2 linked regions of the Saccharomyces cerevisiae S288C genome follow. The protein of the gene in region 2 purifies or fractionates together with the protein of the main gene of each other region. This does not show direct contact. Each region holds a gene or a part of one and is shown on either strand. Other genes may lie near its edges.

The links. The genes of interacting proteins can lie anywhere in the genome.
Region 1: the proteins of HSM3 (region 2) and RPN9 purify together in Saccharomyces cerevisiae (affinity purification with western blotting; 6 studies listed by BioGRID, with this or other methods). This does not show direct contact.

Annotation. Positions count from the first base shown.
Region 1 is NC_001136.10:1,319,902-1,324,807, reverse strand, and holds RPN9 (proteasome regulatory particle lid subunit RPN9), read right to left. Parts: upstream 2,604-4,906; coding exon 1,422-2,603; downstream 1-1,421. Other genes in the region: TIF35 (translation initiation factor eIF3 core subunit g), read left to right, coding at 1-331; BNA7 (arylformamidase), read left to right, coding at 569-1,354; SNX41 (Snx41p), read right to left, coding at 2,867-4,744. UniProt on the Saccharomyces cerevisiae protein: Acts as a regulatory subunit of the 26S proteasome which is involved in the ATP-dependent degradation of ubiquitinated proteins.
Region 2 is NC_001134.8:744,568-750,555, forward strand, and holds HSM3 (Hsm3p), read right to left. Parts: upstream 3,237-5,988; coding exon 1,794-3,236; downstream 1-1,793. Other genes in the region: EFM2 (S-adenosylmethionine-dependent methyltransferase), read left to right, coding at 285-1,544; UBX7 (Ubx7p), read right to left, coding at 3,494-4,804; serine/threonine protein kinase CHK1, read left to right, coding at 5,027-5,988. UniProt on the Saccharomyces cerevisiae protein: Involved in DNA mismatch repair in slow-growing cells. Acts as a chaperone during the assembly of the 26S proteasome, specifically of the base subcomplex of the 19S regulatory complex (RC).

The sequences.
Region 1 (4,906 bases), on a different chromosome or scaffold from region 2:
TCCACCTTCTCGTCGTGCTGGTGCAAGAGATCCTTCATCCGATGCTTACAGAGACTCTAGAGAACGTGATGATATGTGTACTTTGAAGATTATGCAAGTTAATGAAAATGCCGATGAAAATAGTTTGAGAGAAGAGTTATTGTTCCCATTCGCACCCATTCCAAGAGTTTCTGTCGTTAGAAACAAAGAAACAGGTAAATCAAGAGGTCTCGCCTTTGTTACCTTTTCGAGCGAAGAAGTTGCCGAACAAGCTTTACGTTTCTTGGATGGTAGGGGTTATATGAATTTAATTTTACGTGTTGAATGGTCCAAACCTAAGGTTAAGGAATAGATGCACAGAATATGCTCTGCACTTGTTTTCTAATGTTACTCTTCTCATATAAAAATTGTAGATATTAAGAAAGAAAGTATGTAAACTAATCAATCTATACCTAAAAGAATATTGTTCAATATTCTATAAAGCACGCACGGCATGGTAAAATTTTTAACGATTGTAAGATTACAACAAGTTGCAATCCATTCAAGCTAAAAAATCAAAGCAAGGAAAAGCTCAGAGGCTGTCGTGAATATGTCAAATACCGTAAGAGCCATTTCACCAGATATAACACTATTCAACAAGACATTGACATTCCAAGAAATCTCACAAAACACTAGAGAGGCTGTCATATACATTCATGGAGGTGCATGGAACGATCCTGAGAATACGCCCAATGATTTTAATCAATTAGCCAATACCATCAAATCAATGGATACTGAGTCAACGGTTTGTCAATACTCTATAGAATACAGGTTATCACCAGAGATCACAAATCCAAGAAACTTATATGATGCTGTGTCAAATATAACAAGGCTTGTTAAAGAAAAGGGATTAACGAACATTAATATGGTGGGACATTCCGTTGGAGCTACCTTTATTTGGCAGATATTAGCTGCACTCAAAGATCCTCAAGAAAAAATGAGTGAAGCGCAATTGCAAATGTTGGGACTTTTGCAGATCGTGAAGAGAGTATTTCTATTGGATGGTATATACTCGTTAAAGGAACTGTTGGTAGAATACCCAGAGTATGATTGTTTTACAAGACTTGCCTTCCCTGATGGTATTCAAATGTACGAGGAAGAGCCCTCGAGAGTAATGCCTTACGTGAAGAAAGCCCTTTCTCGCTTCAGTATTGATATGCACCTAGTGCATTCTTATAGCGACGAGTTATTAACGTTAAGACAAACTAATTGTTTAATTTCTTGTCTTCAGGATTATCAGTTAAGTTTCAAGTTGTATTTGGACGATTTGGGTTTGCATAATGATGTTTATAAGAATGGTAAAGTTGCGAAGTATATTTTTGACAATATTTGTTGATAGTTGATTTTATTTCTGCATTTATATATATGTGTGCGTGTGTGTTTTATATATAACTGCCAATGGCCTAAACCCAGATGGATTGGCCACGAGCTTCCATTTTTTTGCCCAGTTTTTCTACTTGATCGTTCCATTCAACCAGTCTGTCCTTCATCTTTGTAATTTGGTCACCACTTATGATTCTTGGTTGGACCCAGGAGATGGTAACGAGTTCATTTACTTGGTCAATAGAACCCTTTAATAGACCCAAACTTATGGCTCTCATGACCAGGTGTTCGACATTATCCTTTGGTAGGTGTGTAGCCTTTGAAATATCTTCAAATGAAAGCATCCTAATATTTTTGACAAAAACTGTTTCAATTAATGTCATTAGGCAAATTTTTTGTCGTAAAAATGATTCATGTTGAGCCAATATAGGAATCTTTGATATTTGAACTTTTATCAATGAGTCGAATTTATCAAAATCACCAACGGTTAGAGCATTTAATAATTGGAAAAGCCAATCGTAATTGGAATCGTTGACTATAGTTTCCATTATTGGATGGTGTAATAGTTCGCCAAAATTATAGATTTTGTCACCTAACAATGCTGAGATACTCAAATCATAGGCCAATTGTTGACGTTCGGCTAAAGTAATGCTTGTAGATGGTTCTAAGGTAGAAAGGTATAATAGACTTGTGTAGTAGAAAGAATTGAAATCATTTTTAAATTTAAAATACTGGGAATTTGTAGAATAGAAGCTGTTTGTTATCCTTAATGGAATGGAATCCTTTTTATCCAATGTCTTTTCCAAATCATCTAATAAATCTCTTGCCTTAACGAGGTCGTTCTTTAACAGGTAAGTTCTAGCAATTTCGCTATCTATCAACAAAATACCATCACCATGGTCTTTTGATCCATTATTTCTTTGTTTTTTAGAGTCCAATTCTTGAAATTGAGCCTTCAAATCATCCAAATATTTTAAAGACTCATCGAAATCCTTAGAATCCTTCAAAGAGGCAAGTAGATACTTTACTACTGACAATTGGTTGATTTTATCATAAAATTTAGAAACGAAGTTATCATATAATCTGAGCCTCAATGGTGTAGATTTAGCATCATCAAAAAATTTAGTCAAGGATTCGGACAATTGGAACCACAATTTCTCTTCATAAAATTTCTCAAATTGTTCGAATAAAGGATGCAAAGAGGGATCTGCCTCCATGCGGAGAGTGCTTAATATGGTGTCAATTTCATGATTATTAAACATCTTGCGAAATATAATGTGGTTTCCTCGCGTGTGCCCACTGTTTGCTTTTTGGTACTTAATAGTTTCTTCAATCTAGGTCTAGCTTTTATTTGTTCTTACTTTTGCCACCGGATGAAAGCGGGGAGCGGGTAAGAATGAAAATGATAATAATAGGATAAATGAATGTGTGTATTCAAATTTTTCTAACGTATACGTTATATGTATATATATATATATATATATGTATATGCTATTTGCAACACGATGCGTGACGGTAATGCTTTTTATAGGGCCTCGTCGATTTGTAACTTTGCCAGTTTCCAATTCTTCAGACATTCTTTGATCCATGCTTTGAAGCTAGCTGCGAAAAGTTTCAAGATCTTTCCAATGGTCAAATTAATATGGTTATATGTATGCATTAAGCTGTTGTATGACGAATTGTTAATTTCTAGCATGTCTGATATACAGATTGATAGACAATCTTTCAATTTGGATAAATCTTGGTTCAACTGTTTGATCTGTTTAGATCTTTCTTGTTCAGTCAATTGTTTGATTTCTAATTTATTGAGATTCATTGTTGGCGTAGACGTTTTATAGTTTAGTTTACTTGCGCCTATATGAATTTCGTTTTGGTGTCCACTGGAGCTTGAATTTGAACTTGACTTCGATAGCGATCTTACGTCCTTTTTAACAAATGTCAGGTCAGCAGCCTTTGTATCTTTGTAATTTTCATCTGTCAATATAGTCGACCGCGTTAAACTTTCATTAATCTTCTGCAGTTGGTTTTCAATCTCAGTGAGACTCGAAAGTTTCGTTTCTTTTTCGATAATTAGCCTCTCTAATATTTTAAATTGCAAAAACTTTAATTTCTTGAAATTTAGAACTTTGAATGACTCATTTAAGAACTGCAATAACTCATTAATGGGGTCCTCAAGAATAGAGGTGTACTTTTCTATTAAGATCTCGGAAGAAATGTATATAACATCGAATGAATGGCCTGTCTTTTCAATATGACTAATAATTTCCATCATTGGGTTGTTTGAATTGTTTTCAGATTCGCGAAGGCTGTTGGGCATGGTTATGTCATTTTCCAAACTAAAAGCATTATAATATGCGCCTAATTCAGCAAAATACGTGGACAAGGAGTGGAAATGAGATTTATTTGATCTTATGTTTTTTAATAAATGGGTGATTATTCGCTTATAATTTTGGAATAAATTTTCAATATGTGTAAATTGAGATTCGTTTTGTAAAATTTCTGTTGGGAGGTTGGAAATTTCATTATGACTTTTTACTGTGATGTGTTGTTGCCAAATCGAATTATAGTTTCTCAGAGACGAGTTGGATGGAATAGGTAAAATAGAATGAAGGGGGCTTGGTTTTGTTGGGCTTAAAGGTGGAGCTAAAAGGTTATTCAAAGGTAGTATGATTATCGGCGACGAACTTAAAACATCTTTCCAATTAAATTCAGGGTTTAGAAATTTTTGAAAAACAATATCGTTGCTTATTTCTTGAATGTTCAGACAGTTAGACAAGAATGAATTGAGCATTTTCTTCCTGGTGGAGATAATTTTGGAATCATTTGCTGCGTTTATGGGACTCCATATGTATTTGAGAAGAGAATGCTTGGATGGAATGGGTGGAATAATTATCGTAGGAAGGAGTCTAGTTAGAGATTGCCTCAAAGAATGAAATTCAGAGTACCTTCTGATAATCTTGTTGTTTTCATATAGAATTACGTAACCGATAGCGTGTTTCCCCCATGGATCTTTGAAATCGCCGGCATCAATGATTTGGATCTGCTGTGTCCCATTCATATCGTGGGGAGTAAATTTGCTAATAGTAGCAGTAGTAGACATCGACAAGGAAACAAAAGGTTCAGTTTCCGCATCTGCTTCCACTACGGCATGAGAAGAGGTTGAAGATGACGTAGATGCTCTGGAAGAGCCAGCAGAAGAGGAATGTGCCGGGCTAGATGGCAAAGACGATGAAGAAGGGGGCGAATTTTCGTTCTCTGGGCGAGCTTCGCCGATAGTAGTCCCAATTCCAGAAGCATATAGGTGATGAGTGCCGACGAATGGATTATTATCTTCTTCTGAGAGATCCATGTCAGATGTGCTGCTTTGTTGTTCATGTACCGCCTCAAATATGTTGTAGTCCATTTTTTCTGTATGTGTAGTAGTATCCGTTGTTACTCACTACGTGTATAGATGTCTATTTATGTCTCTATCCCTTATCTCTTTATCTTGTTGCCTGGTTCTCTTTTCCCTTTAAATGGAGATTACAAACTAGCGAAACTGCAGAAAAGGAAAGCCTCCAAAACT
Region 2 (5,988 bases):
TCTTGTCAAATTATTTCAACACCTTCATTCGCAGTATAGTGGTATATTGGATTGGGTAAAGGAAAACAGGCGACACCAATATTGGTTTAAGCTAGTAGCGTATGCAGCTCTATCCAGGCATTAAAATTGGTTCACCTATTTCTGATAGTAGTTTTTTTTTTTCCAATCGTAAATTTTTTCTTCAATTTCGCGATGAGCTACAAAATAATAGTAGTGCAATCTGTATATTACTTTTCAAGTATCTAACTCATGCAAGTTAGGAGTTCCATAGCGGATATTTCACTATGTTTGATCCTCTCGATTTGTACACCCCTGATGACATCCAGGTTGAGGCTTTACAGTTCAATCTAGCAGAGAGAGAGCCAAAAGATCCTTGCTCACCGCAACGTGACGAAATATTAACGGCTGTAGATGAAGAAGAGAGTGACGACGATGACACCATTATCGATAATCTGGATCTGCCCTCCGTGAAGTATGCTCCGCCAGAAGTTATCCTTTGTATACTAATACTTCTGAAGCCCGATAGACAAGTAAACTTCAATCAGGAGACAGGGAAGAACAAATCTGTACTGGAGGTTTGCAAGAGTCATGGGCTGGAACCCGATCTGCTGAAAAGACTTTTGACTTGGTATACAGAAGAATGGCCTAACAAGAGGTTAAACTCGTTGGAAAAGATATGCAATAAAATCCCAATGCTGAGATTTACAGTATCCAAAGAACTACTGTTGGGCTACTATACTAGTGTATTGAAAAAATACAATAATAGTTGCGGATTGAATGAGGAAATCATACAAGAACTTCTTAAGGAATTGAGCTCAAGGATATCCGAAAACTGTGGGAGAACGGCCCAACCATCCATAGTAAGATATTTTGAATTAAGAAATCTAAGCACTTCCATACCGCTTCATGAACCCTCTTTAACGGCCGATAATCTTGGTTGGAAAACATGGGGATCATCTTTAATACTTTCACAATTAGTCGTAGATCACCTGGATTACCTACATACCACTAATGTGAACATGTTAGCGAACAGCGACATCAAACAGATTAAAGTATTAGAATTAGGAGCGGGCACTGGTTTAGTAGGACTTTCATGGGCCTTAAAATGGAAAGAACTTTATGGAACTGAAAATATAGAAATCTTCGTGACGGATTTACCCGAGATTGTGACGAATTTGAAGAAAAATGTGTCATTAAATAATTTAGGAGATTTCGTTCAAGCAGAGATATTAGATTGGACTAATCCTCACGATTTTATAGATAAATTTGGACATGAAAATGAATTTGACGTCATATTGATCGCCGACCCGATATATTCGCCTCAGCATCCGGAATGGGTAGTTAACATGATATCGAAGTTTTTGGCGGCATCAGGGACCTGTCACCTAGAAATACCTTTAAGGGCAAAATACGCCAAAGAACGAGAGGTTTTGAAATTATTACTAAAAGAGAGTGATTTAAAAGTAGTTGAAGAACGGCATTCAGAGGGTGTGGATGATTGGGGTGCCGTTAAGTATTTATATAGGCAAATCGTTCGCAATTAGTGGGAAAGAAACGAACGCGCTTAGGCGAATAGTTTTTCTTTATAATAAAAATCATGCATGCTACATAGACATTGAAATGTGAATTATAAGTACTTGCCAGACCTTACATACTGATTTATACAATTTATGGAGAAGAAAACTGAATGGGCCACCTCGCCAAAAGGTTAGTTTTTGATTCAGACAGGAATCAATACTGGTAGTACATTAAACAATCAAGGCCGCCTTTATAGTTGCGCTTATGCAACATAATCATCTGCAATCTGCAATCTTAGTTTCACTGCCTGTGGAATAATTTTTTCCGTTAACTGCTTTGGAGTATTCTCGCAATAAAGGTTCATACCATACACTTAACTTTTCTTCACCTTTGTCCAGTAAATTTCTCAAGGCAGAATTCCTATAATGCACAGTCTCAAGATCTATAATAGCACCTGCGCTCCCATCACCTATCAAGCTGCCCATCACCTTTGGCATCTCATTGAGCAGAAATTTTGAAGTGTATTCGTATCTCGTCAAGGTTTCTACTACTTGCATTTGTTCTAAGTACGGTAGTCTTAAGACAATCTCAGCACTAAACTTGTTTCTTATAGCATTGAAACATTCTTCATCTGCTGAAAGATTTCTCAACATTCCAATGCTGTAGCCACTGACGTGAAAATAGTTTTCGACCACATCTTTATGATATTTTACCAAGTACTGCGGATTAATTAATTCCAACCACTCGGTTATTAATTTTGCTTCGGACCCAATTTTTAAAGAATCTTTGTCCATAGTCTTGAATAAAGAATATTCATCTTCCTCAATTCGTGACACCTCTGCGAATAACTGTAAAAGACAATTTGTAGAAAAGGCCCTGACATCAGGATAGTTCTCCGTGTCTTCAAAAAGTTGAGCAAATACTGGCAGTATTTTTTTTACATGTCTTAAAGCCCAGTATTTATCTTGATTTCGTATTTCCAGCAAAAACTTAGTATAATAATTAACCAATTCGATGAAAACGAGGATATCTTCAACGGATTTCAGTATCTCTTCTTTAGTAAAGCAAAATATGATATCCTTGAACTCAGGACCGCTGATGAATTGAAACTCAATAGTCAAGAAGTCAATTAATCTGACAAAAGAAACCGTTTCCATTCTACCCTTTACGCTCACCAGGTATGGCAAATTATTATCAAATAATCGACGCCTAATCAATTCATCTGTACTCAACCTTTCCAACGCTTTTTCGATTGCTGTAATGAGCTTATCATTCTCCACTTTCTCATCAAATAGAATATCCAATAGAATATCGATGATATTACTGGTCGCGAATAAACCCTTTGGCTGCGAATTCTCAATGACTCTACATGCTGCTACTTTTAATGGATCTATTTCTGACCTAAGGGCCTTCACTAAGTCCTCCGCGCTATAAACTTCTAGAACATCGTCAAAATCAGCCATGGGAACAAGCTTGTCCACAACGTCCAAAAGGTAATCGTAATTCAATGAATCATAGGATACGTTAGACGTCAGAAAACGCTTGATCGTAGCCAGTAGTGGTTTAACATCCATATCTGGAAGGGAGACAACAGTCACAAGATTCAAAGAACATTTCCTTAATAGTGTGTTGATATCTTCAGGCAAGTTATCTTCATTAAGTTCATTTTCTAATTGCGTAAGGAGATTTTCCACGTAATTTGTTTCTTTCTCACTCATTGCTCCTGTTTCGCTGAGTTCTTTTGCGGTGATTATAGTTGTAAACTTGTTTTATTTTTAATCCCGTAATTAAGGTGTTTATATAAACTTACTCTTCAATTTTTCTATATGCATTTGAAACAGAAAAAAAGATATAAAAATACCAGCTATAACAAAAATCCATGTAAATAAAATTACTGTATATTTTTTTATGTAATCTAATCAAAAAAAATTCACGTCTAATACTAGTCATAAATGGAGTTGAAGCCATTAACTACTTATTTTTTATCTTCGTCCTTTTTCTTTTCTAAATGGACATTATTACCATTAAAGGTTGTTGGGTCTTCAGGATCTTCTTGATGATCGTTGTTAACAAATTGGAAAACATTTGGCGAGACAGAACGTGACGTAGTAAGGTTGGTTTCCGATGGGTACCTGGTTCCGCTAGGTGTCAGCATTGGTGATGCATGAGCAGATGATTGAACTGGTTCCCGAACATTGTTGTATTGGAAACAGCTTGACGAAGCAGCTCCAGATAAAGGTGTTGAAGACCTCACTTCGTGACGATTCGGCTTCGATGTTTCCTCACGTTGTGATGTTACTTCAGGATCTTTATCGTTGTGCCACCACGTAGAGAATCCCTTATAAAGACGGCCCAAAAGGCTTGGTCCCTCCATCCCAGTCACAGATAGCCCCGAGTTTTGAGTTTCTAGTGGTTTAAGTAATAATGCAGACCTTGGAGTTAGTTCTAGTGTCTCTAGCGTCTTCAATTCATCAGAATCCTTAAATGTCACTCTGGGAATGCCCCTGTGGAATGAGTACGGGCAGTCTCCATCTGTCCTGTTGACGTCCACCCATTTTCTAACGTCATTTAATGTTTCAGACGAGTTGAACTCATGTTTTAGAGTCTTGCCATCAGTCATCCTGATTTGCAAGACGCATTTGCTGCTGTGCAGTTTTTGTGCGTCTTTTATGTAATCATGAACATCCAATGGCTTATCATCATCAAGGGTTCTGTGATGAGTTTCATCAAGAGCTTTTCTTTCTGCACGGTCTGCCCTAACAAGTCTTATAATTCTTTCTCTTTCCTCCTCAGCCAGCTTTCTTTGTTTCAGTTGTTCACGACGTTGGATCTCTAAGGTAGTCTCAGCAATCCGTTCTCTTGCATTTTTCCTATGGACGTCTCTGGATGACTTTTCTTCTCTAGCCAAACCTGGATTGGTTTCCCTGGACGAACTCTCACCAGCCTTTTTGTCTTTGATGCCTATGCACGCCAGCAACTTCTCCCAATGTCGGTCATCCTCGCCTTGAATAATCAATTCTATCTTTCCAGCACGTATCAAGTATATACTGGGTACAACTACATTAGGAAATACTTGCTCAAATAACTGGAACTGCTCAGTGTCTTTGACCAACCTCAACCAAATACTATGTTCCGCTAAAGTATCTAATGAGACATCATCTCCTTTAAACCAACTTTTCAGCCACTGGTCATCCCGTGCAGTGTTGTAAACGGCCAGCACAACGCCTTCCTTGATGGAATCGTTTATTGCTTCTTCCACAGAATCTCTAAACAGTGCTTCTAACATTTGGTTACGGCTGTTTGGTTTAGCTATCCTTGCTTCTTTGTAAGTGCTTTCAACCTCAACCCAGCTCCCTTTTAAATTTTCAACATTACTACGAGGCCTGCCGAAGTTAATAAAGAGCGGCTTTAAATGTCATTTTAATAATTGAATGGCAAATAAAAACAACTACAGCTTCAAACATAAGAGTATATCATAAGTTGCTGTATATGGGCAGCACGTATTACTATGAGTCTCTCGCAGGTGTCACCTTTACCCCATATCAAGGATGTTGTTTTAGGAGATACAGTAGGCCAAGGCGCATTCGCCTGCGTTAAAAATGCTCATCTTCAAATGGATCCCTCCATTATTCTAGCTGTTAAATTCATTCATGTTCCCACTTGCAAAAAAATGGGACTCAGTGACAAGGATATCACAAAAGAGGTTGTTTTGCAATCGAAGTGTTCTAAGCATCCTAATGTTTTGAGACTTATCGATTGTAATGTCTCTAAAGAATATATGTGGATAATTCTGGAGATGGCAGATGGTGGTGATCTATTTGATAAGATTGAGCCTGACGTTGGAGTTGATTCCGACGTGGCCCAATTTTACTTTCAACAGCTCGTTAGTGCTATTAATTATCTGCATGTAGAATGTGGAGTTGCTCACAGAGACATCAAGCCTGAAAACATCTTACTCGATAAGAACGGAAATCTGAAGCTAGCTGATTTTGGGCTCGCCTCTCAATTTAGGAGGAAAGATGGTACATTACGTGTATCCATGGATCAAAGGGGTTCTCCACCCTACATGGCTCCTGAAGTATTATATTCTGAAGAGGGTTATTACGCAGATCGAACAGATATATGGTCTATTGGCATCCTCTTGTTCGTATTGTTGACTGGTCAAACGCCTTGGGAATTACCTTCATTAGAGAACGAAGATTTCGTCTTTTTTATTGAAAATGATGGAAATTTAAACTGGGGACCCTGGTCAAAGATAGAATTTACTCACTTGAACCTACTCCGAAAAATTTTACAACCTGACCCAAATAAGAGGGTGACATTGAAGGCTTTAAAGTTACATCCTTGGGTATTACGTCGAGCTTCATTTTCTGGGGATGATGGTCTCTGTAATGACCCTGAACTCTTGGCTAAGAAACTGTTTTCTCACTTAAAAGTCTCACTGAGTAACGAAAATTATTTGAAATTCAC